Linked DNA regions of Notamacropus eugenii. The protein of the gene in region 3 interacts with the protein of the main gene of each other region in a pairwise test. Links are inferred from orthologs where the notes say so. Each region holds a gene or a part of one and is shown on either strand. Other genes may lie near its edges.

The links.
Region 1: the proteins of LMO2 (region 3) and IFT43 interact in binary tests that used the Homo sapiens proteins (3 or more experiments, as listed by UniProt). The two-hybrid records come from large-scale screens. The link is inferred for Notamacropus eugenii from reciprocal best matches to the Homo sapiens genes LMO2 and IFT43.
Region 2: the proteins of LMO2 (region 3) and zinc finger protein 24-like interact in binary tests that used the Homo sapiens proteins (3 or more experiments, as listed by UniProt). The two-hybrid records come from large-scale screens. The link is inferred for Notamacropus eugenii from reciprocal best matches to the Homo sapiens genes LMO2 and ZNF24.
Region 4: the proteins of LMO2 (region 3) and ADAMTSL4 interact in binary tests that used the Homo sapiens proteins (3 or more experiments, as listed by UniProt). The two-hybrid records come from large-scale screens. The link is inferred for Notamacropus eugenii from reciprocal best matches to the Homo sapiens genes LMO2 and ADAMTSL4.

What each region holds. Positions count from the first base shown.
Region 1 is NC_092878.1:59,236,800-59,244,145, reverse strand, and holds the start of IFT43 (intraflagellar transport protein 43 homolog), read right to left. Parts: upstream 3,011-7,346; 5' UTR 2,928-3,010; coding exon 2,874-2,927; intron 1-2,873. UniProt on the Homo sapiens protein: As a component of IFT complex A (IFT-A), a complex required for retrograde ciliary transport and entry into cilia of G protein-coupled receptors (GPCRs), it is involved in ciliogenesis.
Region 2 is NC_092873.1:72,398,617-72,405,934, reverse strand, and holds the start of zinc finger protein 24-like, read left to right. Parts: upstream 1-4,298; 5' UTR 4,299-4,773; intron 4,774-7,184; 5' UTR 7,185-7,261; coding exon 7,262-7,318. UniProt on the Homo sapiens protein: Transcription factor required for myelination of differentiated oligodendrocytes. Required for the conversion of oligodendrocytes from the premyelinating to the myelinating state.
Region 3 is NC_092877.1:17,525,448-17,532,757, reverse strand, and holds the start of LMO2 (rhombotin-2), read right to left. Parts: upstream 3,006-7,310; 5' UTR 2,825-3,005; coding exon 2,784-2,824; intron 1-2,783. UniProt on the Homo sapiens protein: Acts with TAL1/SCL to regulate red blood cell development. Also acts with LDB1 to maintain erythroid precursors in an immature state.
Region 4 is NC_092873.1:304,419,580-304,427,016, forward strand, and holds the start of ADAMTSL4 (ADAMTS-like protein 4), read left to right. Parts: upstream 1-4,431; 5' UTR 4,432-4,510; coding exon 4,511-4,530; intron 4,531-4,853; coding exon 4,854-4,911; intron 4,912-5,121; coding exon 5,122-5,456; intron 5,457-5,669; coding exon 5,670-6,393; intron 6,394-6,778; coding exon 6,779-6,881; intron 6,882-7,437. UniProt on the Homo sapiens protein: Positive regulation of apoptosis. May facilitate FBN1 microfibril biogenesis.

The DNA.
Region 1 (7,346 bases), on a different chromosome or scaffold from region 3:
TCAGTTACTTTCATAATGACTAGTGGGATAAGAAATCTGGAAATGGTTGTGAGGACCGAATTTTCACAAGGGAAGAAAGATATAATTTGAATAGAATTGTCAGGCTTTATGTATACCTTAAAATAAGCAACTTGGATATGCTCTATAGCAGAGGAGAAAACCAATTCATTCTCATGAGCTTTACCCCAAAAGTCACAGACTATTTGGAGATTAAACTCACTCCGTTAAACCCAGAAACACAATTTTAGGATGGACTAAGATCTCATAGCACAACTCAAAGAAAAGAAGTAAAGGATTCCATATCTAACTACAGGATTTTCAGGAAACCAAATTTCTAAGCTGCAACTTTGCATGAGAATGGTTACCAAATATTGTTGGAAAACAGGTTTCTTAGATTCTATGGCAGCCTACACCAGAGAAATACAGAGAGCAGTTGTTTTGACTTGGACTCTGTCTGGATGTGCATCTAAGAGACATCACCCAAGGGAGACTACTTCAAGAATTCTGAGGCAAAATGCTTTGAAATCAGGACATTTGCAACTTGAGGTAATCAAAACCAACATTTGCAGGTGTTTCCAAAAGTCCTTTGCAGTAAAGGCTCAGTATCTTGGAGATTATTTTTTGAGGGCCTAAACTAAACTTGGCTCAGTCAGATAAAATTTGTATGAAGTACCAGGAACTACTAGCCTGTCTAAATTCTAAAGAGTTAAGCAGGACTTTTAGAAGGTTTTTCTGTCACTTTAATATCCTAAGCTTTTCTGTTTTTCTCAGGACCTGAAATAACAACACACCAGGTTCAAAAATATTATAGTTATCCTAAATTTCAGTGCATTTTTTAATAACGCATAGGTCTGGGAGTCAAGAAGGCCTTGGTTCATGTCCTGCCTCTGAGACAAACTGTGTGACTCTGGACAAATTAGTTAAATCCTCAGTGCCCCTGCCAACACTCCTCTAAGAACAGAAGATTCAGAACAGTTTCTGATCTTCATTGTTTCATTTTCCTCACCCAGACAACTACTCCCTCCCATTTTTTAAATCCAGTTTTAAAATTTGCTCTTAAATGCTCTTTACAATTTTTTAAAAAACAGATGTTCATCCTAGATACTCAAGTTTAAAACTGCATAAAGACTTTAAGCTCTATGAAGATCCAATATAACTCCAAGAAGATATTATCTAGTAATATCACAAACTCTTAATGGTCACTTTGGTGGAATATGTACCATCACTGACCTATCAGCACTGTCCATGACTACGTAGTTAGGCACATCAAATGTCCTACTATTGCAATTTAGCTGGTCAGTGAAACAAGGACATCCCATCTAATACACATTCTTTGGAGGCCACTGAATACCATCCACACATCTCCACTGAATCTTTCCACTGGGACCACGGTACAAGTCATTCATTAGGCCTGCAGGCAGGAAAACCTGGCTTCAAATTCTGTTTCAGATGGTAGCTGCGTCACCGTGGACAAGTCATTTAACTTCTATTTGCCTCAGTTTCTTCAACTGTAAAATGGGGATAATAATAGTACCTCCGCCCCCAGGGTTGTTGTGAGGATCAAATGGGATAGTCCTAAAGTATTTGGGACGGAATATTCAATACTCTGATATTTAACCGTTGTTCCCTTCCCTCATGCTGACTGAGGGTTTTGTAATGAAATACAATGAACTGCCCTTAGACCAAAACTGTCCAACCCTTTGGTGAATCTGATCTCAAATAACTGTGACAGCAAACACAAGGGGAGGAAGAGAATGCCCTTTAGATAAGCCTTTGTACTTAAAAAAAAAAAAGCCTGACTTGGGAACTAGCCTAATGTAGAGGCACCTTCACCCTTGTGATTTATACAGATGGTGAAGCTGGGAAACACCCTCTTGGTGAGTTTGAGAAGTGAGGGAGTATCATCTGTATGCCCATAGGTATACAACATATAGTTTTCATTAAAACATGCCAGCCGCTACAAGAGCCTCCATTAATGACATGACAGCACTCCTTAAATCTAGGGATTCTTAAAGTGTGGACCCAGAACCCTCGCTTCAGGACTCCAAGAGGTCAAAATGACGCTTGTCATCATACTAAGATCTTCTCTGCCTGTTTAAATGCTCCATCTCTTCCAACTCCCCATCTGTAGGAATCCCAATACACTTCAATGAAACCAAGACATCCCAAGAGGTAGAATGCAGAAGCCAACTGAACCCAGCTGTCCTCCAGGGAGCCAGACGCAGAGAGTTTGCAAAACTATCGAAAACAGCGTCATTCTCACTCATTTTTTTTGTTTTGGAAATGTTATTTTTCATCAAATGCCATTTATGTGAGCATGGAACAGGTGCACTCTCAGGGCATTTTAAATCTGTCAGCTTTGGTTTCTGACACGTAAATTCTACAGAGACGACTCAGAGAAAGAGAAGTTCTCTGGGCGTCCCCGGACACTGCGGAGAGCGTCCTCGGGTCCCGAAACCCCCAAGTCTGGGACTCGACACCCCAAACAACCCTCGGTGACTGCTGAGCCCAGGGGGGCAGCTCTCGGGCCCGGGCCTCGGGCCGCCCCTGTCCTTCTGGGTCGGGGGGCTTCACCAGGGGTCCTGGGGACTGAGATGGGGGGCGGGGCGGGGACGGTATCTTGGTTTTCACCTAACGTATTTTATTTTAAGAATTTAAAAGTCTGGCACTGGGAACGCTTCCGTCGGCCTCGGGCTCTGGGCCGCCGCACTCCGCTCCTCCCAAGCCTCACGGCGGCCCGGGCGAGCTGTCCGGCCCCGCCCGGCCTCTCCCGGGTCCCCTCCTCCCCAGAGGGGGAAGGCAGGAGGGGAGAGCCGGCCGGAACCGGGCCGAGCCGCTGCCGCCCAACCCTCCCCAGCTGGCCCAGTCCTCACTGAAGAAGCCGATCCGCGGCGCTTCTCCTCGCAGAGATCCAACACATCCTCCATGGCCGCGGCTGCTGACGTAACTTCCGGGAGCCCCGGGGCCCGGATAGCGTCCCTAGCAACCGGCTCCCCGCCCCCGCCCACCCCGCTATTAAAGGGACCGCGACTGATTTTCAGGGCTCTTGGGTGCCCGCTGAGGGAGAGAGAAAGGAGGGTAGAATAAGAGGACAGGAAGGGAGGAGGGGAAAGAAAACAGGAGGAGAGAAGGAGAAACGGAGAGGGGAAGGGAGGAGTGGAAAGGAAAAGAAGGGAGAGAGAAAAGAAGAAAAAAGGGAGGAGGAAAGTAGGAAAGGAAAAGGACAGGGAGGAGAGGAGAAGGGGAGCAGAGAAAAGAAAGGGAAGGGAGGAGGGAAAGGAGGAGAGAAGAGGAAAAGGAGAGGAAACGTTAAGAAAAAAGAAAGAAGGAAGGAAAAAAAGGGCAGAAAGGAATGAAAAGGAAAGGAAGAGAGAAGGGGAAGAGAAAAGAAAGAAGGGAAAAAGGAGTGAAAAGAAAGAAAAGGGAAGGAAGAAGGGAGGAGGGAAAGGAGGAGAGAAAAGAGAAGGGAAGAGAAAGGAGAGGAAATAGGGTCAGAAAAAAGAAAGAGGGAAGGAACAAAGAAGGGAAGAGAGGAATGAAAAGGAAGGGAAGAGAGAAGGGAAGAGAAAGTAAGAGGAAAAGAGGGTAGAAAAAGAGAGGAGGGAAAGGAAGAGAGAATGAAGAAAGGGGCAGAAAGGAGGTGGGACTTGTTCTTTCTTAGTCCTAGCTGAGTAATACTTCAGGGAATTATGCCCATCCCCCTGAGGAACAGTTCTCTTTCTAGTCATTGCCTCAAGCACTTTCTCTTGCTAAAAGTCACTGAGTTTTCTCCTGTGGGACTGAGTGAGCATTTAGGGTTACAGGATCAAGGATTTAGGACCGAAAGGGACTTTGGAGGCCATTTATTCCAACTCGACTCTCCTTCTAGCACCCCTCATTTTGCAGATGAGGTCTGAAGTCACAGAGTTTAAGAAAGGCTTGCCCAAAGATTCAAACTAGTCATAAATAACAAATGCAGAATTTGAACCCAGGTCTCTGCTTCCAAAACCAGTGCTTTTTCATCTGCATAAAGCTGCCTCTAGCTAATTTGTCCAAAGTTGGTTCTGTACTGAAGAAGGGTAGTTTAAGGCAGAAATAACAGACATACTTGCTAGATACATGTATCCCTACTACTAGACTGTGCTAAGCTTCTTGAGGACTAAAGAGCATTTCATTTCATATTTCCAGGGTACTGCACGGTGCCATGTACATAGTATATGCTTAATAAACCCAATTCAATATTTATTTAGTTTCTGTTATGTGCCTCACAACTGTCTGTCATCGAGCTCAATGGACTCTGGCTTCCTCCTCTTCCGCACTACTATACACTGGGGAAGATTTATTTAAAGCTTAAGTTTGGGTTCATATCTTATCGTATTCCCAAAGTGGAGGCGTAGAGTGATAGCTGGTGTATATGATGTAAATCAGGAATGAGATAGTTAGTTATTTCCTGCAAACAAAAGACTCACAGATGTAACAGAAAGAAAAAAATTAACCAAGCTAACTAAACTAGCAGTTACTGTGATACTCAGCTAGGAGACATACAGAAAACCACCAACATAAAGCATTCGTGGGACTGCCAAAAAGGTACTTTACGTTTTCACCTCTGCTTTGCCACACTCAGGAGATGTCTTTTGGCAAGTCAGGCCAAAAATATCGGGCTCATCCTTCAGAAAGGGGCCAACTTCTTCAAGAGTGCTAGTAGTTTCTTGGGACTCCTTTAGAAGGGAAATCAAAAGGGACCCAAAATCTCTGGACCTCTCATACTCAGTAAGGTCACTTTGCAAACCTTGACATTCCTATCTCTAGACTGATGTTCAGTCATCTAGGAAGTTTTCCACCCGAGTTCTAAATGCTATCCCCTAGAGGGTCATGGTTGGTGGTGGTCGTCCTTTGTTCTCGAAGAGGACCAAAATGGCATCACTATGTTAGAGTTAAGTTACAGTGTGTTCAACTGTGGCTGATCAGACCAATATGAGCTCAGAATGATCTACCACAGGTTGGGCACAAATAATCCTTGTGAACATTTGGGGTGGATTCTCTAGATTTGCACATCTTGTGTTTCTTTTGAGCTACCTCAATTCTGCTTTGTTCATAGAGTACACCTTCTTTAATGAGGGTACACTGAGTGGTCCTGTGCCAGTGTTTCCCATGTCACACAATCAATTCCAAAGTTCTTCAGAGAGACCTTGAGAGTGTCCCTGTATTGCTTCTTCTGACCACCATGTGAGCGCTTACTTTGTGTGAGTTCTCTGTAAAATAGTCTTTTAGGGAAGCACATTTGGCATTTGAACAACATGGGCAGCCTCTTGGAGTTGTGCTCTTTGTAGTAGAGTTTGAATGCTTGGCAGTTTAGTTCAAGAAAGGACCTCAGTGTCTGATACTTTACCTGTCAGGGGATCTTCAGAATCTTTGTAAGACAATTTAAATGGAAGCCATTCAGTTTCCTGGCATGATGCAGGTACACTGTTCAGGTTTCACTGGCATACAATGAGGTCAACACAATGGTTCTAGAGCAGGGGTGAGGAACCTGCAGCCTCAAGGCCACATGTGGCCTTCTAGGTCCTTGGGTGCAGCCTTTGGACTGAGTCCAAGTTTTACAGAACAAATCATTTCATTAAGGGAATTTGTTCTGTGAAATTTGGATTCAGTCAAAGGGCCCCACTTGAGGACCTAAAGGGCCACATGTAGCCTCAATGCTGCAGGTTCTCCACCCCTGCTCTAGAGGGTCAAAAGAAGAGGGAATCACGGGTGGGGTAACTTCCTTTTAAAAAGCCCACTAAGGGTGAATCAATGGAATAGGTTAGGTACACAAGACACAATTATCAAGGACTATAGTAACCTACTGTTTGATAAACCCAAAGACTTCACTTTCTCGGATCAGAACTAACTATTGTACAAAAACTGCCAGGAAAATTGGAAAATAGTATGGCAGAAACTGGGCATAAACCAACCTCTTACCCTATATACAAAGATTAAGGTCAAAATGGGTGCATGATTTAGACATAAAGGGTGATGCTATAAGCAAATTAGGAGAGAAAGTTTATCTGTAAGATCTATGGAGAAAGAAAGTATTTATGACCAAATAAGAGATAAAGACCTTTATGAAATGGATGATTTTGATTACATTAAATTAAAAAGGTTTTGCACAAACAAAGCCAATTCAACCAAGATTAGAAGGGAAGCAAAAAAACTATGAAATTATTTTTATAGCCAGTGTTTCTGATAAAGGCCTCGATTCTAAAATATATAGAGAACTGAGTCAAATTTATAAGAATGCAAGTCATTCCCCAATTGATAAATGGTCAAAGGATTTGAATAGGCAATTTTCAGATGAAGAAATTAAAGCTATCCATAGTCATGTGAAAAAATGTTCTTAATCACTATTGATTAGAGAAATGCGAATCAAAACAACTCTGAGGCACCACCTCATACCTATCCTAGTGGCTAATATAACAAAAAAGGAAAATGATAAATGTTGGAGAAGATGTGGGAAAATTGGGTATTGGTGGAGTTATGAACTGATCCAGCCATTTTGGAGTGCAATTTGAACTATACTCACAGGGTTATAAAAATGTGCATGCCCTTTTTTTCAGCAATACCACTACTAGGTCTGCATCCCAAAGAAATTATTAAAAAGGGAAAAGGAATCACATGTACAAAAATATTTACAGCTGCTCTTTTTGTGGTGGCCAAGAATTGAAAATCAAGGGGATGTCCGTCAACTGGGGAATGGCTGAACAAGCTGTGATATATGATTGTGATGGAATATTTTTGTTCTATAAGAAGTGAGGAGTAGAGAGATTTCAGAAAAACCTGGAATTACATGAACGGATGTGGAGTGAACGGAACCAGGAGAACCCTGTACACTAGGCCTGCATAACATATGGCCTGTGGCCCACTTGTGGCCTAACAAAGAATTTCTAACAGCACACAAGAAGTATAGAGTTGCCACTGTGCACACTCCTCTCTGTCACCTGACCCACAGCAAACAACCATCATCAGTTTATCTCTAGTCTTACCTATCTGCAGCTGAATAAATTTAGCCTATTTTAATTTTGTCCCCAACTACTGTCAAGTTGTGAAGGTCTGTTGTACACAGTAACAGCAACATTGTGCAATGACCATCTTTGACAGATGTAGCTCTTCCCAGCAGCATAATGATCTAAGATAATTCCAAAAGACTCATGAGACAAAATGCTTTCCACATCTAGAGAAAGAACTATGGAGAATGCAGATTGAAACATACTATTTTCTCTTTTTTTTCTTTGTTGAGGTTTTCCCCTTTTGTTCTGATTCTTCTTTCACAACATGACTAATGTAGAAATATGTTTAATATGATTGTACATGTGTGGCCTGTATCAGAT
Region 2 (7,318 bases), on a different chromosome or scaffold from region 3:
GTATATATGAGAGAGAGGATTTGAACTCGGATCTACTAGATTTCAAAGCTAACACTCATCTACAACACCATGCAGTCTCTCTTGTTATCACACTTTAATATGAAAATTCAGGCTTATAGGAAGGGTAGCCAGAGAGGTATAGGCCCAAGAATAGATGGTTGCCATTATCTGGGATGAGAGATTATTGAGGTCAAGAAATGGACAAGACTCCCAGTTTAGAAAAAAGACATACTCTGATTTAAGCTAGTAAGAATGTAAATAGTATGTAGTTTAGAGCTAGCTCATTTGACAAGAACAAGATGCTTCCCTGTGTTAGTAGGAAGTCTCTAACTTTAAAAAATGTGTGTGTAAAAATAAGCTACCAAATCAGATTATCACTTGACATCAAAGTATATTATAACAAACTGATGTTAAGCTAAGTGGTGATAGCATCATTATCATTTGGAAATGGAAAGTTGTAGGGTAAAACTTTTTCAGAGTATCTGAAGCATTGTCTAAGAGGATCCCCTTTATTAGCTGACTCGTATCTAATTATAATGGCAGGCATATCTTTATAATGAAGAAGTGTGATTGATTGGGCTATTGAATCTTATTGTAAGTATCACTTAAAATTGAGCAAAAGGAACTTTAGATAATTTTGTCACAAAATTTCAGAAGTCTCAGTACCTGAGAGGCTACTTATTCCAACCCATAACTTAACAGTATACCCCAGATAGCTCAATACCAGAAAAAGATAATTAGTTAATACAACTATGTAATTGTGATTAATACATATATATTTCCCCAACATAAATTAAAAAGTGACTTCCTAATACAAATAAATTTTGGGATTTGGGTATCACCCTTGGGTAGCTTAACCACTGTTTCCAAGCATAGACTTTGGATCAGATCGCAGTCAGAGTCTGGACCCATGATGATACCACAAAAATGTAGAAACTGGTAATACCTGATTTAAAGAACTTGCCAAAATGCATTCTTCAAAATTGAAGTTAAAAACATCCCCACTATAGTTTATAAGTTTTAAAGATTTTATATTTTCCAGCAGCTCATCGATATGTATTGGGCAAGTATAGTAGCACAGAAATTATATCTACATGTTTAATGGAAATAAGTGTTCTATTTGAAAATAAAGCAACTGGCTTATTTATTTAAATTACTTTGACAGAAACTGATAAACTAATTTTCCCTTTTGAGGGATTCATTATACGTATTATAATAATACACATTTTGTTAGTGATAATGCCTATGTAACGTACTCCATTGACTGTATTCTCCTGTTGTGCTTCAGTTACACCACTGAGTAGACAAACGTCAGACGTGAGAAAGAAGAAGGAAAAGGAAGTACCTGTAATTGGCCATTTGGTCTACCTGTAACTGTCACAAAGTATAATCATTTCACACTTCTCCCAAGATTATTAATATATCTAATGCTTTGGATGATTCCAATAGGTTGGAATTAGTGTGGGCCAGCTAAAAGTATATGTGACAAATATATAGCAACAAGTCATCAAAAAAAGCCAGTGGGGAAAAGTGAATGCAAAATGGAGCTTGCTTATAAATATGCTGATAGTGATGATGTCATGTGGATTATAGAGTTAAGTATATATGTATGACTGTATTGATATAATGTATTATTTTATATTATAGAAAATGTAAGGGTCTTTTCTTTGGGACTCATTCTCCTTGTGGCTGAAAAGAGCAAACCAATGACCAATAAAGCAGTGACCTCCCCATAGATAATCATTGTTGTGTGTTATTCCCCCAATAAGAGGATGATCATCGTTGCGTTAGGACTTGGATACCTTGCACATTAGACTGGAGAGTCTAAATCAGGTAAACTGAGGGGTACAACTACCCTCATTTGGTTAATCATTCATTCAGCAAGTGTTTATTAAGTGCTTAAAACATACCAGGCTCTGGGGATACAAAACAAAAACACACCTGCCTTTATCTTCTACTGGGGGAAACTGATTACATGGATAAGTAAGTACAAAAATACTCAAAGTAATATGGGATAGGGGAAATGTTCTGAACAATGGGAGGAATCAGAAAAGACCTAATATAGAAGATGACACTTGTACTAAGCCTGGTTGGAAAATAGGAATTCTAAAAAAAACAGTTGAGGAGGGGAGTAACGTCTAGGTATGGGAGATATTCTAATGAAAAGGCTCAAAGGTGGGAGATGAAATGTCATGTTCAGCAAGTTAGACCAGTCTGGCTATGACATATGTAAAGGGCACAACATATGATAAGCCTCAAAAGACAGGCTATGCCCAGATTATGAAGAGCTATAAACAACAAAGGACTTTGTATTTTATTCTATCAATTCAATATGATGTAATCAAAACTTTCCCTGGGGACCATAGGTAGGAAATCTGATCAGAGCATTCTTTCTTTCTAACAGCTGAACAAGCCCTTTAAAGTTTCAGAAAACATGGAGGTCTCTATCTGGAAAATTTCTAGGCATGATCAAGATATTTGTACCTGCTATTAGGTAAATGAAATAATCTCCAAACACAGGAGAAGATTTAGGGAGGATGTGATAGTTTTCTTGAAATATTTTAAGTCTCATCATGGAAAATATATTAGACTATTTTGCAGAGAAACAAACTTTGGCTTCAAACAAGGAAACTATTCCTAAGAGCTGTCTAAAAATAGAATGGGCTGTTTGACAAACATTAAGTGACTGCTATGTGAAAGACATTCCTGAGAGTTGAAGGTAAAAAACGGAACTAAAGCCTTCAAAGAACACACATCCATTGGAAATGTAGTGGGTTCTCCCTAGCTGGAGGTCTTCCAGCAGAAGCTGGAATCACAAGGTGGATTCCTCTTCAGGTAGGAGTTGAACTAAATGACCCCTGAGGCTCAAACCCAGACTGAATCTGTGATTTTACAAATCTTTTATGCTTTTGATGGCAAGTAACTAAAAAATTTAGTTGTAGTAGAAAAATACCTGCCAATGTACCATACTTATGAAAAATTTGCCCAGTGAGTTGTCTTTTCTGAGTTGGCTCAAGCTTTTTGTTAGAACTAAAAAAAGCAGAGATAATGCAGACCAAACTTTCACTTCCCCCAGCCATTTAACCAAAAGAAATTTAGCTCTGTATTTGTTTTCAAGCATCCCTGAAATTCCACCTCATGTGACGAACCAGTTTTCCTTCCTTAAAAAAAAAATCTTGTAATCAGTATATAATAACTTTGGTCTTTTTTATTTCCTTTCCTTGTGTATTTCATATCTTATAACTTTTATGGCACCATAATATTCCATTACATTGAAATACCATAATATATGCATTCTCCAAATAAACAGCAAACATTAAGTACCTACTATGTACAGCATTATGGTGGACTCCACAAACAAAAGTGAACCAGCCCCTACCCTTAAAGTGCTTGCATTCTAAAAGGGAATTTGGAGGATGTGGGGCTTAGGGAAGGTGCAGAAAAACGCTAGGAAAGGCTTGGTGCAGAAGGTGATGCTTGTGCTGTCTTAAGTAATTTGGGATATGAGTAGTTTTCAATTTTTGTCTTTTTCAAATCTCTCTCTCCTTCCCCTCCCTCCATATATGTGTGTGCATGACATTTGCCTTAGTCTTGACATTTTAAATGACTATTATTTTAAAATGTTTGCCATTCCAACAGATACAATATATCCTAACATGTAACTTTCTAACGAATATATTACCGGAAAACTGTTGGAGATACTGTTTCAGACACCTAGCAGATACAAGAAAGCTTGACATTATGTAACTTTCTAACGAAGATATTTCCGGAAAGCTATTGGTGGTAACTGTTTCAGACAAATTGACAATTGTTAATGGAAAGATACATTGTTGCTAGGTTGTAGAGGGTTTCAAAAACCAAATCGTTTATACGTTCCAAAAGTCTTAGTGCAGGTTTAAATTTTAGTATCAAAACTGCACTAAGACTTTTGCAATGCCTCGTATCTTATCCTAGGGAACCAATGGAGTTTATTGGACAAGGGAATGACATGGTCAGTCCTGTACTTTAGGAAAATCACTCAACTGTGTGGAGGGTAGACCGGAGAAGGAATAGACTTGCGATAACGAGAACCTGGACTAGGGCGGTGACTTTTGGAGGCTTTGTGCATAGCGAGAAGGGGTAGAAAAGGCAGGATTTGGCATCTGACTGCAAATGTCGGGGGAGACAGGATAAGAATCGTCGCCAAGGTTACGAAAAATGCTTGCCGCCCCTTTCCGTTCTGAATCTACCATCACATGCTTGTAGGATTCCCCACTCCCTCATCTCTACGGCAACCACTTGAGTCACTTCCCCCTGGCCCGCTCCGGATTGAGAACCGGAAGCAGCTCTGCCGGGAGGCTTCTGGGAGAACGTTTTTCTAACATCCTTTTACGACAGCCGGGGAGAAGGCGAGCCACCTCCTTCCCAGGCCGGGGGTGAGAACAAGAAGGGTACAGGGCAAGCCTGCGTTCGGACAAGTCCGAAGTGGGGGCACCGAGAGCGAGGACCCAGGAGGCTTCATTCATCCGTGTGTCCCAACTGCTGCACCCATAGCCCGAGATCTGCGAGGAAGGACGGAAAAGGGGGGAGAGGAGAACTTGGCGATTCTTCATGGCCACCCTGCTGTGACGTTTTCAACCTCATCTCCGTGCCCCGCCGCGGAGCCATTGAGGGTTGAGTATTCCAAGGGAGGTGCCTGTCTGCAGAAAGTAGGGGCCGTGTGCGAGGGCTTCTGGGAAGAGTAGTCCGGGCTGGGTGTGTGCGGAAGTCTTCAAAGGGTCTTCTTGGAATTAGGTGAGTGCTGGGTTGAGGGTCCGAACATCTCAGGTTGCCGGCATGTCGCCTCTGTGGCTCCCCAGGGATGCGCCTGGGCGTCCGTGGAGGTTCTAGACCCTGCAGCCAGAACAGGAAGATTGTTTTTAGAGCTAGGCCTGCTGTGTCCGTGTCCTGTACCCCTCGATGACTCTTTCCAGCCTCACTCCCTCCTTACTGAGCTGACGGGGAAATTTTTCTTAGAAAATAGGCAAAAAAGAGGGGGAGGGGGAAAGGAGCGTTTCCTTAAGTAGCTTTCGATTAAGCGTTGCTCTCTGCGGCCAATAAATGAACACACATTTTTGAAAAACTACATACTAAGTGCCAATTGCTGGAATAAACCCTGGAAATACACCCAACTAAATAATGATGCACTCCTTCTCTCAAGAAGTTTAACATTCTGTTGAGGGAGACAACGTGGACGTAATTTAGAATATGCAAAAGACAAACCCCGTAATTTTGGAGAGAGCATTAGCATCTTGAGAAAGGTTTCCCAGAGAAGGTGTTACTGGAGTTGTTTTGAAAGAAACAAGGAAATTAAGAGGCCGAGATGAGGGAGTGCATTCCAGGCATAGGATTCAGCCAGTGCAAAGTCAAGGAGATGGGGAAATGGAGTGTCCTGTGTAAAGACCAGCAAGGTCAGTCTGGCTGGACTGCAAGAGTGTGGTAAAAAAGGAGTGGATAATAAGGGATTTTGGAAAGGCAGGCTGGGAAAAGGTTGTGAAGGGTTTCAAATGTCAAAACTCTTTTGTACATGGTATTTGTTTGAATTTAATCCTAAAGAATTAAGGAACCACTGGAGTTCCAGTGAGAAGGTTACATGGTCACACCTGTGCTTTAGGAAAGCCATTCTAGTAGATTTGTGGTGAATGGATTGGATTAGGAAGAAATAAAACAGGAAGAGGAGGTGACAGACTATTACAGTGATCTATGCATCTGGCGATGTGGGCCTGGTCCAGAGTAGTGAGTGTGTGAAGAGATGGGTGACATTTGAGATGTTAAAAAAGTAGAAATATAACTATTTGGCGACTGAATAATAAATATGTGGACTGAGGAAGGGAGGTTTCCAAAAAATAGACAAAAACCTTGCGCCTAGTCAGGATTAGGAGTGAAAAAGCACACTAGTAGAATCTTTTGCTCATAAGGACTTATCTCGGACTCCTAGGGTTGACGGAAGTCCCTTTCTCCTGGTTAGTACATAATGAACTTTTTGAAAAGAATAAAGGGTTCCTTGACCACAGTTACTGAGTAGACTTGAGTCTTATTCAAGTTATTTAAATAAATATTGAAAGAAATGCACAGGGCCTGAGGTGAAGGTAGAAGGAAGGTAGAAGGAGGTAAAATTTTTCTGTCATTTGTCTTTGGTTCACTGGAGGGAAAAAAAGTGTGCTGACTACCCACAAACAAAAAACAATAAAGATCCATATAAGATTTGAACAGATATTACCTTAGCATTACAGATTTTACTGTACCACCCATTTCATCATGCTTAATATTTACAGATGATGTGTACTGAAAATTATTTGAGGACAAAATTAGGGGAGCTGCCTTCAATTTTTAAGAACCACTTTCTGGGGATCATTGAATACATTATCCACAGTTGCTATTAGGTAGCTGTTTCCCTAAAATCTGACTCATACACTGGAGGTTTCTCACAGATTTTTAGTTCATTCTTTGTCTTTCTAGCTAATCTTTTATTTGTTGTTTTCACTCATCTTTGTGACTATATGAATAATAATATTAGTGGTAATTTCTCATATTCATTTTTTTTTTTTTTTTTACAATTTTAAAGGCAGCTGGTGGCACAGTAGATAGAACACCAGGCTTGGAGTCAGTAAGACCTGAGTTCAAATCCAGCCTTAGACACTCACTGCTTTGTGACCCTGGACAATTCTCTTAAGCTCTCTCAACCTCTGTTTCCCTAACTGTAAAAATGGCAATAATAATAATAACACCAGGCATAGTGCCAGGTACATGGTAGTTGCCATATAAATACTTATTCCTTCCTGGTTTGTCACAACACACCTGTGAGAGAAGAAGTGCAAGTATCATTCCCCTTTTTCAGATGAGGAAATTGAAATTCAGGGAAATTTAATAGCCCGAAGTTATACAGCCAATAAGTAGTAAAGCAGAGACTAGCATTCCAACCAGAATAATTGAGTGCTTTGGCTCTTATGACCAGATTTTCCTTTCCTTTTATGAAGTTGTGGTTTATATAAGGAATAAAATATCAATATTTCTTTGTTCAGTCTTATTTTTCTATCTCATAGAAAAGCAAATATCCTTATCGGATGATTAGCTCCTGACTAACCTTCGTTATCATATATATGTCTAAGCTTTTACGGTTAGTTATCTGTTGCTGCTGATTTTTTTTTTTTTGTCCAATATTCCAGGAGTGGTAGAAGAGCTAAAGGTAACTATATTGGACCCCAACTGAAGTAAGTTTCCTTCCGACATAGTGTCATTCAGAATGTCTACAGAATTGAGTGAGGATTCAGTATTGATTTCTCCCACTCTAACTGAAAAA
Region 3 (7,310 bases):
GTTGTGGATGATATGGCCACCCAATCAACTATGAAAGAGAAGAATTCATGCTCAGCTGATGCCAACTGACTGGAATGAAAATGGAATTGCCTTTAGATTGCTTACAGAGAGGCAGTGGAGTCCAGTGGATGGAAGAATGGACAGGAGACTCCATGGTTATTACACCATATATTAAATGCCAATCTCTTCAACATTCCAAGCCCCCAGAATGGTAAAAATTTGAAAATGTGTTAATAGTTAAGGTGAGGAGAGAAGGGAAAGGAAGGGAAGGCTAGTTAATAACTGGATGCAAAAAAAAAAAATCTTTCACACTTATTAAATGTCTACTAAGTCCAAGGCAGCCTGGCTTAATGGACAGAGTCAGGAAGGCCTGGGTTCAGGTTGGACAACCTTGGACACATGGGTATTAGTTGTATGACCCTGTGCAAGAAATTTAACCTTTCAGTGCCCCCAGGCAAACCTCTAGGTACCCCTTTGCCTTAAAAGAAAGAGTTTCATAGCTAGGAATTCTTTATGCCAAGGAAATCCTAAGTCTGACAAGAAAAAAAAATTAAAAGCCTGAGGCATTATACATTAGATGGGGATTCAGAATGGAATGGAAAAACTGCCCCTGCCTTCCAGAAGCTTACTTCTAATGAATCGACCCAGCTCAAGCCAGCTCAGAAGGCAATTTTATCTATCTGCGACATGGAGAAGTTGCCACAAATGACCAATCTCCTGTAAGTATGGAGTTAAATATCTTAGAAGAAAGCAGTCTACATTTTCAGATGTGAAGCAAACGCAAGTATTAAGATGGCCTGAGATAAGATAGCCTTGGACAGGATGAGATCTTATCCCGCCCTCTATCTCACAGAGTTCTTACTGTAATTGGTGTTATAATAGCTCATTATCCACAGTCAGAGTTCTGTTCAGTGAGAATTTCAAGGCAATGACTAAGGGGGAGCACCCCCAAATGAATACTTGAAATGCTCCCAGAGTGTTTTCAGGCTTCTACGCAGCAAGTGGCCAATGATGGCTGCTGGCCCCTTTTCTAACGCAGAACCCCAGCTTGAATTTCTTAGATGATTTCTTGAGATTTTCTATTTGTTTGTTTTTAAAATTCTGATCGACAACACCCCGGTGTTGACTGGTCATTCCACAATTGACTTGGACTGAAGTGTCCTTGGAATGGGGGGGGGGGGGGGGGGAAGAATGACCCAGAATATGGAGTTAGTAAGTCAACAACATTTATGGGATAGCAGAGGTGTCAGGTTTTCAACGCCCAAAGTTCCAAAGAGCAAATATCTAATATTTATCCTTGAGGAAACTGATCCCTTCCAATTTATCGGCTAATAAAAGGGCTAGTGAATGAAGAGCTTACTGACCTCAGCCGCATTCAGTATCCACTGACAAACCTAGAGTATTCTGCTATGCAGCCTTTCCTCAAGGTCTCTTGCACACAGCAGGGGCTTAATACATGTTTATGGAGTTAAACTGACCATGACAAGGAAAAAAACCAACTACAGGGTATTTTTGTGCCAAGATGTACTTTGAGATTTTTTTATGAGTCCACAACTCACTAAATGCATCAAGATTTGCCCCCATCTATCCGACCCCTCCAGGGGAATTTATTTAAAGAAAATGATCACAAAGCTCTCTACTTTGGAACTCAGGTCTTGACCTTCCAAACCGCACTGTGATATTTATTCTTCAATTCTATTAGGAGCCCTTCCAGGGTTTTATGAGACTGGCCATGCCCTCTATCTCAGGGTAAGGCCCAGGTAAACAATGTGGAGGAAAATTGAAGGGGGAAATACTACAGGCAGGAAAGTCCAATGATTTCAAACAGCTCCGAGAAATGAAAACGGAAAACAAAAGCCTTCAGAAAGCACAAGTGGATCTCTATTAACTGACCCCTTCAGTGAGGTGTAAGGAATCCTCTCACCAGACTAGCCTGCGTGGGCTTCAAGGGAGGAAAGAAGTCCCCACACCTGGCAGCGAATACATGTTAACATGAGTTTAAGGGAAAGGGTTTTTTCCCCTTCCCACATATCCCCAATGCCGCTTTCTTCCCTCTCCCCAGTCCCCCCACAAGCCCAGCGTTGAAAGCAGGAGCCTTGAAGCCACCCCTGCCTCTCCTGGCACCGCTGGCCTCTCGGTGCCTTTAGACGTCAGACAGCCGGGGAGCCTCCAGCAGCGCAGAGAGCCCACAAGGGCAGCCCAGAGACATTTCTAGCCCCATTCATTCCTCCCAGACCCCCCCTATTCTGCGGCCGGGGAAGGCAGAAGCGAGCTTTGGGACCCTATCGGAATGACACGAGGGAGAAGAAGGAGAGGGGCGGGAGAGGGGCCGGAGCCCCCCCGCTCCCGGAGCCTTCTCGCCCCCTTCCACCTGCAGCCCCAACCCGGCCGAGCTCAGACAAAGTTTGCCCGGCACTCCTCGCTCCGGGAACCAGGACAAGTTGAGCATCGGTCCGTTCTCTACCTTCGGCTGGGCTCGGGCTGAGCCCGGCGGGGCAGTGAGACCCCGGCCAGGACCCCAGCCTCTGCCCCTTTCACCCCACCCAGCCCAGGCATATCTATCCATTCCGCAGGGGGTTCCCATCTCCCCAGGGACGGGGTCACTCAAGCGCCTGGGACCCCCTAGCCCTCCCCCTGGAGGGGTGCCCCGCGCGGCGGGCGATCGCCAGCAACCCCTCTGGCATCAAGCCCTCCCTCCCATCCCCGCGGGGTACAGGAGGTCCTGGGCGCAGCGCCTCCACCCAAGCCCGGCTCGGAGGCTGGACGATGGAGCGGCCACTTACTCGGACGGGTCCAGGCTCTTCCTCTCGATGGCCGAGGACATTGGCGAAGGGGGGGGCGCGCTGCTGGGGTGGGGGTGGGGGCTCCTTTGTCGCGCAGGGCCAGGCAGGCGGCTCGGCACCCCTGGGTCCTGGTCCTCCTCCTCCTGCCCTCCTCGGGCAGCGCGGCTGCTCACCGGCCGGCTCTGCCCTCCGCCCTCAATGACATTCACGGGCTCCCTCGCAGAGCCAGCGGCAGAGCCAAGGCGGGCGAATCCCCAGGGTGGGGGGCCGGGGAGGTCAGCGGGGTGCGGGCCCGGGGATGGGCTGGGATGGGACCTGCCTGGCCGCCGGCCCCCGCGCAGCTCCGCTCTCCTGGCTCCGGCACTCAGCCCTCCATCCCGGGGAGCCTCGCCTGCGCCTGTCCCTGCCGGCCCGGCTGCGGCTGCGGCTGCGGTGCGGCAGGCTCGGCTCGGGGTCCCCCTGCCCTGGCTGCGGCTCCGGCTCCGGCTCCGGTCCGTCCCCGCCGCGAACCTGCGCCCCGGAGTCCCCGCACACCTTGGGCTCGGGCTTTCAGAGCGCGCGTGTGTGATGGGGCGGGCAGGAGGCGGCCGGGGAGGGAGGGGAGAGGAGGAGGAGGGGGCGGGTCCGGGGGCGTGCAGGTCTCCCCCCGTTCTCGCTGAAATGTCTATTTTTTGCTCAGCCTCCCTCTGTCTCTGGTTTCATTTCCTTTTTCCTGATCACGATTCAAATACAATAGAAGGAAATCACATTTAAAGAGACAGCTGCCCGTTTTATTTCTTTTCTTTTCCTTTTTCCCTTTAAAAAAAAAAAAACTGGGCTCCTGGGGGATTAACAACCCAAACAGCAGCGACCTCACGACTGACCTGGCTTCTTAAAGGGGGCAATGCCAGGGCTGGGGGGCTGGCTGGGCGCTGCACTGCCCACCCCTCAGGGGCCGAGGTGGCCTGAACCACCTCAAAACCATCCTTTGGGAATCACCCCTACCCATCTTCCTTTCTCTTAACTAAGGCTGAAAGTAAACAGGCTTGCCCCAGAGAAAAACATTTTGGATGACAAAGGGCAGAAGCAGGACCACTTTTCGAATCACAGGTGTAGAGCTGGGAGGGACCTCAGGGCTACTCTGGTCCAATCCCTTCATTTTATAGAGAGATGGAGCGATTTCTCTCAAAGCCACAAATTAAGTAATAGAGATGGAATCCCAAACCCACCGTGGCAGATCAACTGAGACACTGAGAGATATAATGGAAAGAGCCCGGGCTGTGGAGCCAGAAGTCTTGGCAAGGACAACAAATGTGCAAAGGTGTGGAGGTGGGAGAATTCAGAAAGCCTTAGATCCTAGTTTGGAGTGACAAACATGTCAAACAATCCAGAAGTCTGAAATAGATGAAAATATAATTGGGAGATGTTTAACCAAACAAAAATACAATATGACCTAGATAATGTAAATTTGTGGTTTCCTAAGTCAATGTGTGATCTGCAGGAATCTGTTCTTATGGATAGGACAGTAGGCTGGGTCTGCAAGACTTGGGACCAAATTCTGCCTTTGATGCTTTCTGCATGTGTTACCTTGGGCAAGTGTATTAATTTCCCTGGGCTCCACTTTCCTCTACTGCAAAGTGGCGGGGCTTGGATTTCAGCTGAAGATTTATGATCCTCTGTAAACTATAAAGCCTCCTAAGTGGTCTCTTCATCTAATCTCTTCCTTCTCTGATCCATCTCCCATAATAATTTTTCTAAAGCACAAATCTGACTATGTTACTCCTCACCTCAAGAACTTTAAATGGTCCAATTCATTTTACAGATGAGGAAACTGAGGCAAACAGGGTGGAGTGACTTTCACAGTGTCTGAGGTCAAATTTGAACTCAGGTCTTCCTGACTCCAGGTCTGGCACTCTATCCAGTGGACCAGGCAGGTAGAATGTGAGCCCCTTCAGGGCTGGGGCCTTACAGATGAGGAAACTGAGGCCCAGAGCCAGGATTTGAACTCAGGTCTAAATCCCATGTTTTCCCTATTGAACCACATCCATTTGTGAGCAGAAAAGAAATTCCTGAAGGAACTTGCTATTCCTTTAAAAAATAAGGTTTTTGTCTTGTACCATCAAAGCCTAGTAAGATACTTTGAGCAAAGCAGGAACTTCACAAGTGCTTGCCCTGGATCAAGGAGCTGGAAGATTGCTAAAATCCCCCTTCAAAGAGTCGGTAGATGGTCGCTCTCCTTTTCCTGGGTCTTGAAGCATCCTGTGAGGAAGCTACATTTTAATTTTTTTCAGTCAGAGACAATGTTTATTAAAACACTATTGGGGTGGATGAAATTTTAAGAATCCTTGAATTTGTAATGCTTGTATTGACAAGCAGGGCATGATTTAAGAATCTGAGTCAGGAAGCTACATTTAAACAATAACCTTATATCAATGTGAACTGGTACCATGGTACCCCAAGAGACTGGAGTGACAATGCTGGGCACTGGAAAGAGCATTGGTTTGGGAGTTGGAAGCTCTGGTTTCAAATTCTGCCTCTGGCCCTTACCATCTGCGTTTCAGTTTCGGTCTCAGTTTCCTCATTTGCCAAAGGAGGTTGTTGGACGAATTGGCCCCTGGCACTTTTGGATCTAGGATCCACAGCATTATTTCTAGGCACATAGCTTGCCTGTAAGGAGTATAGGTCACAGGAAGGGCATGGGTTGACCTTAGGAATGGAAGGAAGGTTTGTCCAGATATTGGGGACAGGCCAGGTTAGGCACCCCTAACCTGGGGTTGCAGTGCTAGAGATCCCAGTTCAGCAGAGGTGGGGGGAGAAGGGAGACATTTCAGAGCCTGTGCAGGGCTTTCTCCCCTGCTTGAAAATGCTGAACCGATCTAGTGGTTAAACCTGTTCACTTATAAATAGCCAGTAAATAACTGCAAATACACTGCCCTGCATTAATGATAAGTAACAGCAGGAAGATTCTTTTGCCCTTCCCTCCAGGCATCCAGAAGGAGCCAAATGAGATGTTCTGATTTTCGAGCTATTTTATATTCACCTCCAAAGGTAGAAATAGGAAGGGTGGGAGGAAGGGGCTCATATTTACCAACTACTCCATTTCCACAAAACTCACATTAAACAACCTCATTAAAAAGCACTTATAAACTTTTAAAAAAAGTATTTCTTAAGGGCCCTGGGACAGTGGGGCTTAGAGAGAGCACTGGATCTGCAATAGAATGAGGGCAGTGCTATGCACTAACCCAGTGACCTTGGACCAGGAGCTCCTCATCCCTCATCCCTCATGTGGAAAATGGTCTGGATGATCTCTATAGCTCCTTCCAACTCTGATTTCATGCTTCCTGACTTGGGAGCATAGAGTGATAGACAGAATTAGAGCTGGAAGGGACCTCGAATGCTAACCTGGCCAATTCCATCCATTTACAGATGAGGAAACTGAGGCCCAGAGCCAGGATTTGAACCTAGGTGGTCTTATTTTAAATCCCATGTTATCCCTATCGCACCACATCCATTTGCTACCAGAAAAGAAATTCAGGGAAGAACTTGCTATTCCTCTAAAAAATAATTCTACTGATATCTTTTGTTTTTATATTGCTTTTATTACCTTCTCTTCCCACCCGCAGTGAACCAGCCCTTAATCCAGAGAATTTTTTTAAAAAGATAAAAAAAATCATTACGTGGTACACAGCTTTTTGGTACATATTTTTTTGCTTGCCAACCTTCCTCCATTAGATTATAAGCTCCTTGAGGGCAGGCATTGTCTTTTGCCTCCTTTTCTATCTCCAGCACTTAGCATGGTGCCTGGTACACAGTAGGTGCTTAATAAATTCGTACTGAGAGGAATCAAATGCTTGTTCCTTCAGGGCTGTAAGTCCAGAGACCAGTCCCCACGACCACGTCAAGATTAATCCCTGGACTACGATGCATATATTTTTATCCCTCCTATGATTCTCCGGCCTTCTTACTCTAAGAACTGGGTCCCTGACAATATGAACTAAATGTATTTTCCTGGAGTCAGGAGGCTGCTAAAGGAGCCACTCTATATCCACAGCCTTCACTATATATTTTTAAGTTATTAATATAAGAGACGTTCTCATGCTCAGACACTTCCTTTTAATGGGAAAAGCCTCCCAGACTTTCTCAGGCAGCCTGAATTATGTGATAAATATTTAATGTCACACATAATCACTGTACAATCAGGAAGGAGAGTAAAGAAGGGATAAAATTCATGGGGGTCCAGGTCCTAACTGTTTTATAATTCTGAGAATCGGAGAGATCAGAAAGTCAGTGAGGATGAAAATGAAGGCTTTCACAATTTCCTTAAGAAAATAAATCCTTTTTTTAAAAAAACATGAACAAGCTAAGAATTTTTTAAAGAATTTTATAATAACATATTAATGTTTATTATCTCTGAGAGCAAAGAGTATGTTTGCATTTCTTTGCTTTAATTAAGTCTGATAACAAGCCAGTTATTGTCTTACATGCTCTAATTCTGAATTGGGGCAAGAATCAGTCACAAAAATAAATAGATCTTTGGATTCCAGAATG
Region 4 (7,437 bases), on a different chromosome or scaffold from region 3:
GGCAGAGAGCACTGTGCTGAGGTCAGGAAAGGAAGGAAGGAAACAAGCATTTATTAAGAATGTATGTGCTAGGGACTGAGTTAAACACTGTACAATAGCATCTCATTTAATCTTTACAACAACCCTGGGAGTTATTGTCCCAGTTTTCCAACTGAGGAAACTGAGGCAGGCAAAGGTTAAGTGATTTATCCAGGGTCAAATTTGTATCTGAGGTCAAATTTGAACTCAGGTCTTCCCGACTCTAGACTCAGAATTTTATTTACTGAACCACCTAGCTCCCTACTGGGGAAGCTGAGACTGGTAGATTGTTTGAGCTCTGGAGTTCTGAACTGCAAATGGGCTCAAGTTGATTGGGTGTCTGCACTATTGGTAGGCCCCTGGTAACAGAATGCCACCATGCTTCCTTAAAGAGGGTGAAGCAATATAGGCTGGAAGCAGAGCAGATCAAGCCTTCCATCCCCATCAGCAGAGCCCTCCCTCACTTAAATCCAATTCACTTGCAAGTCAGGATATCACCTTCCTGATTTCATGGTCCTCTTCTAGAACAAAGGACAAACAATGAAATAGGACCAGGGGTAGGGAGACCTGGAATCTCTCCCCAAAAAATTAGGTAAAATTTTAATGGATAATCAATGGAAGGAGACATTTCACGTGAACGAAAAGGTGTTGCGCTGGACCTGAGACAGTAAATTTTAAAAGTAGTTCAATTTGGCAGGGCTGTAACACACAATGAATACTAGAACAGTGGCATCCTGCTAGAGATACAAAATATCCAATCAGTCAAACATTTAAATATAATAATATATTCTGATGTGGCTTTACAGGTTTCAAAGCATTTCTGCAAAGCATCTCAACAGAGATGTTGGGTTTTATGGAATTTATCTGGGATTATGGAATCACAGATTTAGAAGCAGAAGGGAGCTGAGAGGCCGGAGAGTTCGACCCCTTTATTTTACAGAAGAAAACTGATGAGCACGGCGTGGGGCGATAGTGGGAGTGGGGAGAGACAAAGTACAGAAGAGGCATCCGAGAGGAATGGAGCGGGGCAGGGGAAGGGAATGAGAAGGAAGGAGAGAAAGGGGGGAGAACAGGAGGAGGGAAGAAGAAAGGAAGGGGAGAAGAGGGGAGGGAAGAGAAGTAGGAGGGAGCGCGCAAAAGGAAGGAAAGGGCAGTTTCAGGTGCTAGTGGGAGTGGAGAGATACTAAATATAGAGGAGGAAGAGGAGTGGGGAGGAGGAGAGGAGAGGGTCCCCAGCCCTCACAGCGCTCACAGTTTTGACCACCCAACTCAGCATCCCTCCACAAGCCTCCTCCCCATCTTCCCCACGCACACGCGGATGGGAGAGACACCAGGGCCCCAGGCTCCAGTCCAGGTGCGGCAGCTGTCCACTCCCCCCGCGTTTCCCGACGGGGCCTCCCCCAGCCTGGCCAGCCGCCCTCCTGGAGTCTTTGCCTGGATAGCCCCAAGCAGCAGAAGAAGGGAGGGATGGGCAGCCGGTGCTGCACCTAAGGGGAGGCGGGGACCTGAGGCCCGTCCCGTCTATCCTTAAAAAGGAAGTTGGGGCGGGTCCCACCATTCCAGACATTGGCGAGGCGCCTCAGAGCATCGCCCTTTTCAGAGCCGTCCGAGGGTCCTGACCACCTGGCCGGACTGCCCCGCCCACGCTCTGTCCAGTCCAGAGGACCCCAGGTTGGCGGTGAGGGTCGGAGTCCCTGCCCAGGCACCCGGGGCGTCCCAGCTGGGGCCGGCTGGCTGGAGCAGCCGAGCAGGGATCTGGTGGGACGGGAGCCCACGCGGGAGGGACGGACGGACAGACGGAGGGAGGAGCGAGGGAGGAGCCTCGGACGGGGGCGGAGCCCGAGCTGGAGGCGCCAGTGACCGGGAGCCCGGCTCAGGGGCCGGGCCGGAGCGGCCGGAGAGGAGTGGAACGGAGCTCGGACGGGGAGCCGGAGAGCGGAGGGGCCACGAGCCGCGCGCAGGTAGGACCCCCGCTGCCCGGCCCGCTCCCCCGGAATCCCGTTAGATCGCTTTCCTGGAGCGCCCCGCCCCCGAGTATCCTCGCTCCTAACCGAACTCTGTTGGGGACCCCCCCAAACTTTCTCCGGCAAAGGGAGCCCACCTCTCCCCATCCATGATCAGATTCAGCGTCCCCACCCCAATACATGCACAGCGCCCCTTCTCTCCATCTTCACTCCAGTCAGGACAGTTCTGTTTCCCCCAACGCTGGCTTCCCAGGTCCGACTTGGAATTCTGTCTCTGAGGAACTGACGGGGGGTGGGGGGGAAAGGAATGCAGGTGGCTGGCAATCCTTTTTTTTTTTGCCTCAGACCCCTAAGGGTGGGAGATAGGGGTGGCATCCTGGATAACAGTTCAGACTCCAACATAAAGGGAAAAGGGAGCAAAAGGGGAAGGGTATTCAAGAAAATTGGACATTAAAGTGCACCCCACCCCCCATCAACACATTTTCCATCCCAACATCTCCAAAAAACCCTAGGAGGAAGTACAAGGGTGAAAGGGCTATTCCTCTTCTAGTTTCTGGTTTGCTCTTTGATCTCCACTAGACTGGGGAGGGGGTGTGGCCATAAACAGGTCAGTTCGGGATGGTCAGATAGCAGTGCCCATTCTGTAATCAGGGAAACTTCTAATGACCTCTGCTAACCCCCAGGTTGGGCAGAAAGGTACCAAGTGATTAGAGAGGCCAGAACTGAGGGGAGTACAGACTGCCTCTATATCTGTCTCTGTCTCTCCCTGCAAGGGGGGAGAAGGTATCGGCCCCCTGCCCAGCTGTGTTGGGGAGGGTGGGGCCGGGGACTTTTCCAGAGAGGGAGCCAGGCCTGGCCCAAGCCCCAGGAGCTCACGTCACCCCCACCCCTCTGGCCCCCACTTCTCTTGGGAACAGCCAGAGCCAAATCGAGCTAGGAATGGGATTATGTGTACTAAGTAGAGACCTGGGGAGCCATAGGCATAGACCTGGGGTGGCAGGGATATAGATCTGGGGGAGAGATAGAGAAATGGCCAGCAGACCATTCCTCCTCCAACTGGAAGTTAGTTTGGTTATCATCTCTTTTCTGCTTCAAGGTAAGGGCTTTTATCTCTTCCCTAAGTGAGCAAAGGGTTAGGAGCAGACAAGTAGACATTTATGTGAAAGTATGAAACCCTCTCTCATCCACCCTGCCTGGAACCCCACCATGGCCCCCTGCCCCATAGGCGTTGTTGCTGACCTCAGCAGGGCCAACCCAAACCCTGGGGAAGGGAGGAAGGGGCTGCCAGGCCCAGGCAGAGATGACCCCAGCCAGTTCTGATCTGACCAGTCATTTCCCTCCCCCACATTTTCAAGTCAATGGGTAATTGCAGGGAGGAACAGTAAAGATGAGCACAGATCCTTTTTATGCACCTCCATCCAAAATCTGTCTCTTTCATTCTTTCCCTAACCCCATGGTTGGCCCAGTTCTGTTTTGGTCCCTTGGACTCCTCTCCCGGGTGCTTCTTAGCTCCAACAGAAACAACTTTTTTTTTCCTGGAAAGCAGAACAGAGAACAGGGGAGGGGGCCCAGGGCTCAGAGTCTAGGCAAAGGAGGGAGGTAGGGAGCAAGAAAGAGGAGTAGCAAATCCACAGCTTCACCAGGGCTTGGAGTTGAAAGCTCTTGTTGGTCTACATAGGATCAGAACTAGATTTTAAGTAGGACTTCCTTACTTTCCAAAAAAGGGGGAGCCAAAGGCTCTTTGCTGCTTAGGATTTCTCATTGCAACACCTAGCACATTATCTTAGTTGGGCAAATTGATGAGTGACTGAGCTAAGACAGGGGCTTCTTCTGGATTGCTTGGGCCAGTGGTTCACATCCAGCTACAGAATTGTGCTACTGCTATTTAAACCATCAGCCAGTTTACTTGATTTACAGTTTGAACTGGAGGCAAGAAAAAGACAAGAGATTTCTAATCTTTGGACCTGTAGTCCAAAGGAAAAGCTGAACCAAAGGATATGAAAGTAGGAGACCTCCTGAGAAGAGAGAACCCAGTGGTATGTACCCTCTCTTGGTACCTGCTGAGGTGGGTATGTAGAATGTGCCCTGGAAGCAAGAGGACTCCTGACGGATGGAGCTTGGTACTTGAGCCGGGATAGAAATACCAGAAACCAGAGATTAGGAAAGGGAGATTAATTAGGGTATTGAGGGATTTGGTAGGGGGCAGTGAGGAGAAGGTAAAAGGGATGACTGGGAAAACCAGAGCATTGGGACCCTCAGCTTTCCAAGGGAAAGAAAGAAGACAGCAATCCTGGTCTCTCAAAATAGGGACAGAGAAGAGGAGGAGGTATTAGGTAGTGTTATGTCCTAACTTCTGTCCTTAACCTTGAACATTTTTATTGAGGGGACATAACCCCTTCAGGTGTCTAGAGAAGAGTCAGGGTAACCTTTATTCCTGCCTTTCTTTCAGGTCTTTCTTCACATCCTAAGCCCTCTAGATTTCTGAGTAGTGTGTTATCTCCAGAGGACTGGGGAGATTAGGGAGAACGATGGAGAAATGGGGAAGCAGGTAAGAGGTGAAAATGGGAAGGGGTAGTGGGATCTATCCCTGGGAGGTACAGGAGAAGAAAGCAGAAAGATGGCAAGGGTGGAAGAATGGGTAAGTAACCCCTTCTATTTTCTGACAAGCTGTGAGACCAGATGTAGGGGGCCAGGCTTTGTACCAGCTGTTCCAGAAATCTTAGTGCCATTTTAAGCTTTCATAAAGCTAAAGTTGCAATAGATATGAAAGCTTACAACTGTACTAAGACTTCTGGGACAGCCTGTATAAGAACGATTGTGACCTCAATTCTAGCTATTAACTTTGATTACTGACTGCCTCTGGCTCCTCAGACTAAGACCGCCTCTTATGCTGCTCCTGCTCCTTCCTCAACTCAGCCTAGACCAGAAGGTCAGTGAAGAGGTTGGAAGGTTTTGCCTGCTCACCAACCTTCTAGAACCCTGTCTCCCCAAGAATTTCCTAGAGCCCTTTGCTCACCCCATGTCTCCCTCCTCATCTAATTCCCCAGGCCCTTCCCTATTTGATGCCCCAGTCATTCCCCCCATTCCCATGCAGGTTACTCCAATCCCTCCTTGATTTGTCTCTTTTTCTCCCAAATAGATATCCCCTCGCCACTCACGACAAGCACATCCTGAAGAAAGTAAAATCCCTGAGGGTGTCTGGGGTTCATGGGGTCCATGGTCCCCTTGCTCCCAGCCCTGTGGGCTTGGGATACAACGCCGGAGTCGAATCTGCCAGTCACCTACATCTTTACTCCAAACCGGGTTGCCTCTACCACCCAGGCCACCTCGACATCCGGAACCCTTGACTGCTCGATCCCGGAACGCCAGACCCCAAACCCCTAGGGAGACCCTCCCTCTCTACAAGCCGGAGCCAAGGGGGAGAAGTGGCCCTCTAGAACAAGAGGAGGCTAGAGAGACCTCAGCCTTAAGGAGGTAAGGGAAATGAGGTGGGAATTGAAGGTGATATATCTCAGCAGGTAGATAAGATTGTGAATGGAATAGGTGAGCCTTAGAACAAGAGGAAACTAGAAACTGGGATAGGAAATGAAGTTGATTACAGGAGTGAGGAACAGAAGAGATTCAAAATGTTAGTTATATGGGAGAAGTAAGCAGAACCATAACTCTGTAACTATAACAATTTCCTAGGTCACGTGTTCGAGATCCTATCAAGCCAGGAATGTTTGGCTATGGGAGAGTTCCCTTTGCTCTTCCCCTACATCGGAACCGGAGGCACCCACATGGACAGCCCAAAACGGAATTCCCCAGTGATGAGGCTCCTCAGACTCTATTTCCAGAGGCAGAACTCCTCCAAGACTCTAAAACAGAGGATTTCCGAGCTCTGACTGTCAAAACAGAACCGCCTGTTAATACTCAGCTCCCCCAAACCCAGATCTCTTCTACAGTACTGCCCCCCCAGGAAGACCTTTACAGTCCCCAGAATCTTGGGACAGAAACACCTCCTAATACCAAGTTTCTAGAGTCGCAGATACCCCCAAAGACAACCAACTTCAAAGCAAAGTCCACCCCCACCCCATCCCCCAGAACAGGCAATTCCCTTAATCAGGTCCACCCACAGAGATCACATCATTCCCAGCAAATGGGACCAGAATGGAGAAGATCCCCCCATCCCTCCTCCTCTGCCCCCCGGGGCCAGGGCCGAGGCCAAGGTCATCAGAGAAGGAGAGAGCAGTGGGCACCCAGAAATGCCCATCAACAGGCTGTTGAAACTCCCCCTCACCATTCAGAGAGTTGGCTGCCTTTACTCAGCTCTGGCTCCAACTCAGGTCCCCTCTGGAGCCTTTTTGCCCCCAGTGCCTCTGCCCTGAACTGTCCTGGAGAGAAGGAGCAACTGAGAGCCTGTATCCAGAAGGTGAGCTCTGCCTTGATCCTGGATCATCTAGGCTTCTAGATGTTCCTAATTTGCATAGAAACCAAAGCTGTGCTCCAATAATTTGGGGGAAACTGTTCTGGAAAAGAGTGAGGGATCTAAATTGGGATCTAAGGTCCCAATTTATCTTATCTAGTCCTGAGGATAGATAACCCTCATGTCTGAGCCCTAGCTCCCTCCTTTGTAGGCCTCCATTTTCTCCCTGGGTTATCATCTCCTAGATCTTTGTCGGGAGGCCAAAGGGCATACTCTCCTAGTTTCTGATTCCTTCTTTCCCCTCTGCAAATCACTCCATCCCAATCCTCAACTGCTACCCTCCTATTGTTTTTTTTCTTAGCCCTGACAATTCTGTTTCCCCCAACTTCAGCCTTGCCCCCCTGAACAGCCAGATCCACGGGCCCTGCAGTGTGCCGCCTTTGATCCTCAGGAATTTATGGGCCGACTCTACCAGTGGGAGCCCTTCACAGAGGGTGAGAACTGAAACCCAGGACCCCAAGACTAGGGAGGCTACACGTTGGCCCCTTTCTAGCCCTGAAAATCTTCCATTTGTGCATTATTTTCCTAACTGTATCTCCTGCCTCAGTTATCCCCTCTTTTCTTTAGTTTCTCTCTTTGAGGCATTATATGCCCATGTGGGAGAGTCCCCTTCCCTACAGGACAGGGAAAGGGGATATATTTTCCCTGAATTCCTTAATTTCCGCCTTTCCCTCCCCATCAGGCAGTCTGTGCTGTTTACTTAGCCTGAGTGGCTGGGCGAGCGAGGGGGCAGGAGGGGAGGTGGGGTATATATAGATGGCTCTTTGTGCTTCAGAGGTCTCTGCCAGTACCTAGGAGGGAAAGAGGGAGGGGATGTGTGTGTGCGTGTGTGTGCCTTGTGTGTTTTAGGGGAAACTAGGTCTGTATGATGCCTGATCTTCTCAAAAAAGCAAAGCAACTAGAAAACGATGGAATCATGCTGAGGGAAACTAGCCCCCTACAACTGAATGGTTTTCACTGTCCCCTCTGGCGAGGTCAGCTGTATCCAGA